Linked DNA regions of Tribolium castaneum. The protein of the gene in region 1 interacts with the protein of each later gene in a biochemical or structural test. Links are inferred from orthologs where the notes say so. Each region holds a gene or a part of one and is shown on either strand. Other genes may lie near its edges. The genes, in order: Arl2 and PrBP.

What was found.
Region 2: the proteins of Arl2 (region 1) and PrBP are reported together in a solved structure, tested with the Homo sapiens proteins (2 studies listed by BioGRID and IntAct, with this or other methods). The link is inferred for Tribolium castaneum from reciprocal best matches to the Homo sapiens genes ARL2 and PDE6D.

The regions. Positions count from the first base shown.
Region 1 is NC_087396.1:14,850,549-14,853,713, forward strand, and holds Arl2 (ADP-ribosylation factor-like protein 2), read left to right. Parts: upstream 1-1,581; 5' UTR 1,582-1,678; coding exon 1,679-1,743; intron 1,744-1,829; coding exon 1,830-1,940; intron 1,941-1,987; coding exon 1,988-2,150; intron 2,151-2,195; coding exon 2,196-2,411; 3' UTR 2,412-2,473; downstream 2,474-3,165. Other genes in the region: uncharacterized protein LOC103313727, read right to left, coding at 1-87, 138-237; protein mothers against dpp, read right to left, coding at 2,474-3,165. UniProt on the Homo sapiens protein: Small GTP-binding protein which cycles between an inactive GDP-bound and an active GTP-bound form, and the rate of cycling is regulated by guanine nucleotide exchange factors (GEF) and GTPase-activating proteins (GAP).
Region 2 is NC_087401.1:12,577,030-12,579,883, reverse strand, and holds PrBP (retinal rod rhodopsin-sensitive cGMP 3',5'-cyclic phosphodiesterase subunit delta), read right to left. Parts: upstream 1,555-2,854; 5' UTR 1,443-1,554; coding exon 1,396-1,442; intron 1,351-1,395; coding exon 1,167-1,350; intron 1,124-1,166; coding exon 987-1,123; intron 937-986; coding exon 855-936; 3' UTR 755-854; downstream 1-754. UniProt on the Homo sapiens protein: Promotes the release of prenylated target proteins from cellular membranes. Modulates the activity of prenylated or palmitoylated Ras family members by regulating their subcellular location.

The DNA.
Region 1 (3,165 bases):
AGCCGTGAATGATGGCCGGGTCGTCGTCACAGTAATGCGGAGGACATCCAGTGCAGCGTGGGCCCAGGCCCAAAAATGGGATGTGGACTGAAATTGAGAATATCAATCATCGAGGATTCTGTCCGAATGAGATTTACTTCTTCGCGATGAGCGTGAAATTGGAGCGTTGGCTAACGCCACACTTAGGATAAAACAGCTGGTTAAGATAAAAGCAAATATTTTTGTGAGGGTGGCCATTGTTGGACTAGATGGGCGACTTGTCTGGATGCAGTTTTAAATGGGTGTGTTATCGAAAAAGTTGTTAAAAATGCATCTAGATAGTGGCTATGGTCTTTAGTAATGGAATTTTTTACGAAGTGGAGGAGATTAGGTAGACGAGTTAATTGGGTAATAGGTAGTTGTTTGTTAAAACTATGGGATTGTTATTCAAAATCCAGCAATTACAAGAGACTAGTTAAAGCACTTAGTTTAATTTAAAACCGAGTTTGAAACCTATACAAAACATCTACGAAAATTATTGTCTTATTTTCACTAAAAGTAAATAAAACAAAGTTTAAAAAACCCGACACACCAAACCTTTATTTAAAAACACTAAAAGTAGGTAATTTACAAAATTACTTTTTTGTTTCTTATCTTTTCAGGAAAATATTTTGCTAATCAATCAAGAATCACATTTTTGTATTGTTTTATTATTCAAGATTGAGTACTTAATCAGTCAAATAATAATTGTGTAATCTGCTCAAGATACTTTCAGTACATCAGCATTATCTGCAGGGGCGGGTTTAGATTCGTTTACTGGATAATCCTAAAAATACAGTTATGGAATAAATGAAATTTCCAACAATAATTTTAGATAATAGTATTTTGCGAAATCATTTTTTGAAGCAAGTATACATATCTAACATAAAAATTTAGCTCTTTTGACAACAATTAGTTTAAGCAACCTATAGTTTAAGCACGATCATAGCTAAGAAGCTGTTAGACTTCGTTTAAATAAAAGAGTCAATCAAAATTGAAACACATGATTCAGAAAAAAAAACACTTCAGGCTTTTATAAAACAAATTGCATCATACGAATGAATGTTCGAGATTTGATTATTTACAAAATTTATAAAGATAACAAATCGTGGTAAAAAAATTAAGCGACTTTTGTTCATTATACGAATTAGTCGTATTATGTAAATATTTTGATCTATTACCACCAGGTAATTTTTTTTAAAACAAAATAGTTTTGCCTGATAAACGAGCCAATTTTTTGCTCAAAGTACCTACAGTGTATGCACAACGTCCACGCAGGATGGCTTTCAAAAATGATAGAAAGAAGCACATTTTTGTATTTTTTAATGATTGTATTACAAGTTTATTTGTTTATCTTTTTTGAAAAGGTTTTAATATCAAATCATTTTTATTATTCTTTTTTTTAACAAAGAGTCACTTCGAATTATGATTGGTGTTTTTTCTTGTTCGCTTCAGATGTGGCAACTTTTTTGCGAATAAACGGGGTTTTACTGTAGTTGAACAACAAACTTATGTAGGCAATCACCAAAACTCGTGTGTAAAATTACAACATACGTTCTGGCGGTAATGTGACGTTTCTGTCAGATGTCGAAAATCTCAAACGTCATAAAATAATAAGTCTTCGAATTTTTTTATTGTGTCTAATAATTTTTAATACAAAATGGGTTTTCTCACAGTTTTAAAGAAAATGAAGCAAAAAGAAAAAGAAATGCGAATTTTGATGCTGTATCCTTTTATCGTCCAGATCTAACCTCAAAAAACTCATTTTTTGTGCAAAACATCTCACTGTTTTTCTTAATTTTATAATTTAGAGGCTTAGATAACGCTGGGAAAACGACAATTTTGAAAAGGTTTAACGGGGAACCAATTGATACGATTTCACCTACTTTGGGGTTCAATATCAAAACCTTGGAACACAGAGGGTAGGTCTGCTATTCACACTCCGAATTTTCAAAATAAAGTGTTTTAGTTTTACTTTAAATTTGTGGGATGTCGGGGGTCAGAAATCACTACGCTCCTACTGGAGAAATTACTTTGAATGCACAGATGGTCTTATTTGGGTGGTGGACAGTGCTGATAAAAGACGTCTTGAGGACTGTAAAGCTGAGTTACACACTTTACTTCAAGAAGAGGTACATAAATTTGTATGAAACATGTTCGTACTACTTTTTTTTCAGAGATTAGCTGGCGCGACTCTTCTAGTTTTTGCAAACAAACAAGACCTTCCAGGGGCTTGCACCCCTGAAGAGTTGCGTGAAATTCTCGGACTGGATCAAATCAAAACCCACCATTGGCAAATAGCGAGATGTAGCGCTGTTACGGGCGAAAATCTTTTGAAAGGAATGGATTGGTTAATTGACGATATTGCAGCAAGAATTTTCACTTTGGATTAATTTATTCTGTATCAAAATATTTATCTTTTGTACAATATATTTAATAAAAAAGACATAAAATATTAATAGTGTAGTTTGTATGGCGCCCCCATTTGCGTCAAAGTCCTTTGGGTCCACTCCAGATGTCGCAGAAAGCGCACTTCAAGCCAACAAGGCTTCTCAGTAATCCCCCCAACTTCGTTACCCCAACCCTCCACAAAACTGATTCGAACGGTGCACACTTTAGCTAAGCTGTAAACAGCCTCCCAACCCTTTGCCACCTCCGCAGATAACATTTCGTGAAATTCGTCATCACGGAACAGTTTCATGTGTCTGCACCGAAACGGCGACAACTTACAAATAGTACCACCCGGGTAGTTTTTAAGCCGATTGTAAAACCGCGAATTGACGTAGAGATCCGAATCGGACCACAACTGCACGTAAATCTGCCCCTTAACATAGTGCAGAGTAATCCCTCTCCCAATCTGCTGCCTTGTATTTTTCACCGTCCACTCGCGTCCCGCATTTTCCTTCTCGAACAAATTAAACCTGTCGTTTCGCTGCGGTCCTCCTTGTAAGCAATGCACCCAAGCGGAGAGTCCTTGGCAAGGAAACGCGTCCCCAATTCGCGACCCCTTCTCGTAGTAATAAATCGTTGCCCAAACCGGGGACGCTAGAACTGGGTCCAAGGGTGGAAGCAGTCGGTGGTGTCTGTAATGACACGGGTTGAGGCAAATCTCCATTTGGTGGGCCGAAAAACAGAAATTTCGCGGCT
Region 2 (2,854 bases), on another chromosome or scaffold:
CGCTTCTAAATACTGAGAAATGCCAAATGATGACCTTCGTGAAAAAATAGTACCTTCAACTCCAAATTACAAACTTAATTCGAAAGTGTTGCCAATAATAATAATAATAATTTAGTAGTAAAAAATCTTGATGCATTTTTTTATGATAATAAATTCTTATTCAACTATCACAATGAAAATGCTATCGCAAAAGCTAATAGAGTTCTTGTCTGTATTAAGAAATATGAGAAAGATATTATAGTGTTTTACAAACGTTCTGTAAAAAATGTATTAACTGTTAAATCTTGTAAATATAAATGTTTAGTACCGAAAATAAAATAAATAAAAAACAAAAAGATAAAGCCAATTATCATTAACTGTCAGTATTTTTTTATTTTTATTACTAGATTTATTTTTTTAATTTCTAATTTCATTTTTTTTCTAATTACAAGTAAGATAAGACATTCAACATAAATGTCGGTTATTTAAAAAAATTAAGACTGACAAATGTCAGTATGATTACAAAATGTAGCAATAAAAAACCATTTTTTAATGAGTAATAAATGAATTTTTGTGTCTGTATACGAGCATATTTCATTATTTTTATGTTCGTAACTTGTTAGACGGCTAAAACAGCATACTGAGTGACGTCACGCTTGCAGCGCTCTACATTACCGATACTGTTACCGGACAATCTCCCATTATACAGAGTATATAAAATTATATACTCTGTGTTCCCATTATTGCTGGTGTTAGGGTTTGCGAAATAAAACAATTTTTATTATTGAAAAATTTAATAAAGTAAATGCACACATTGTTATTATCACACACAAAGGTAACAAAACGCAACAGTGGCCCCGTTGGTGTCTTTTGATTCAAACGTAGAATAAACGCACTCTCGATGTGGAAATTAGCAAGTCGTCGTCATAGAATTTCGTTTCAATGACAACATTGCCGCTGGAAATGAAATTATTGATTAAACTCGATTGATTTGCGGCAATTTATACTTGAGGACGGACGCGGGCATCATTTCAGACTCAGGTGCTGCCTCCATGATCGATTGCCATGTATTTGTCGATTCTGGCATAACAAAACCAAATTCGAAGTACCACTCTTCAAGACACCGTCCCTTAAACAATACTTTCTGCACACAAGCCAATAAAACACCGCTATTTTGCACATGTTACCTGCTCCAGACGAAATTTTTCGATTTGTTCTTTGGAACTAAAATTAAACTCTCGAGATACTGCACGACATTTGAGGATGTTTTTAGGTACGTGAGCTTCATGTTCCACGTCCGGAAAGCTCAAGTCCTCGCAACCTTGCCAGAAAACGGTCCCACCGTCGGCGTCACGCAAACAAACCCAATTCCTACGCGATTTTTCAAATTTGCCCCCAAAAAAAAACGATACTCACACTTGAAAACCCTTAAGTATCTCTTCGGCGCGAGTGCTCTCGGACATTCTCCCGAAGAAGGCAAGGGGCGAATTCGTTGTTTGGATGCGATTTTGAGGCAAACATAGAAACTAACCTCAAAAAAGCAAAGTTTTGACAGCTGACAGTGATGACACGATCAGCGCGTCCTCTACTTTTTCGAATTTTTCCGTAACTATTATTAATTCAATTTGAAAAAAGTGCTAAATTAATGATAATAATGTTTTTTTTATTTTACGCATTACTAAAGATTAGAATATGAAACGACATACAAAAAAACTGGGCAATGAATTAAAGAAGAAAAAAAAACACAGTCGAATGCCCTATCGAAGAGCATAATATCCTGCAAAAATAAAAAAAAATGAAGGATATAAAAAGGGTAAAAAAAATAAAGTTTGCAAAATCGGGAAATCTTAAAGAATCTTTAAAAATTCATTAAGGTCCCAATGGGTGTTTGTCCGAACATGATTTTTTCACAGTCAAAGGCCCTATCAAAGGGCTTAATCTCCTGCAAAAATAAAAAAATTGAAGGATATAAAGAGAGTGAAAAAAATAAAGTTTGCGAAATCGGAAAATCTTAAAGAATTTTCAAAAATTCATAAAGGTCCCAAGGAGTATTTGTCCGAACATGATTTTTTCACAGTCGAAGGCTCTATCAAAGGGCTTAATCTCCTGCAAAAATAAAAAATATTGAAGGGTACAAAGGGGGTGAAAAAAAATTAAGTTTGCGAAATCGGGAAATCATAAAAAAAAAATAAAAATTCATTAAAGTCCCAAGGGGTGTTTGTCCGAAAATGATTTGTTTTACAGTCAAAAGCCATATCAAAGGGCTTACTCTCCTGCAAAAATAAGAAAAATTGAAGGATATAAAGAGGGTGAAAAAAATAAAGTTTGAGAAATCGGAAAATCTTAAAGAATCTTTAAAAATTCATTAAAGTCCCAAAGGGTGATTGTCGGAACATGATTTTTTTACAGTCGAAGGCTCTATCAAAGGGCTTAATCTCCTGCAAAAATAAAAAATATTGAAGGGTATAAAGAAAGTGAAAAAAATTAAGTTTGCGAAATCGGGAAATCATAAAAAAATTTAAAAATTCATTAAAGTCCCAAGGGGTGTTTGTCCGAAAATGATTTGTTTTACAGTCGAAAGCCATATCAAAGGGCTTACTCTTCTGCAAAAATAAGAAAAATTTAAGGATATAAAGAGAGTGAAAAAAATAAAGTTTGAGAAATCGGGAAATCTTAAAGAATTTTAAAAAATTCATTAAGGTCCCAAGGGATGTTTGTCGGAAAATGATTTTTTTACAGTCGAAGGCCCTATCAAAGGGCTTAATCTCCTGCACAAATAAAAAAAATTGAAGGATATGTAAAGGATGAAAAAAATAAACTTTGCGAAATCGAGAAATCTTAAAGAATCTTTAAAAATTCATGAAGATCCCAAGGG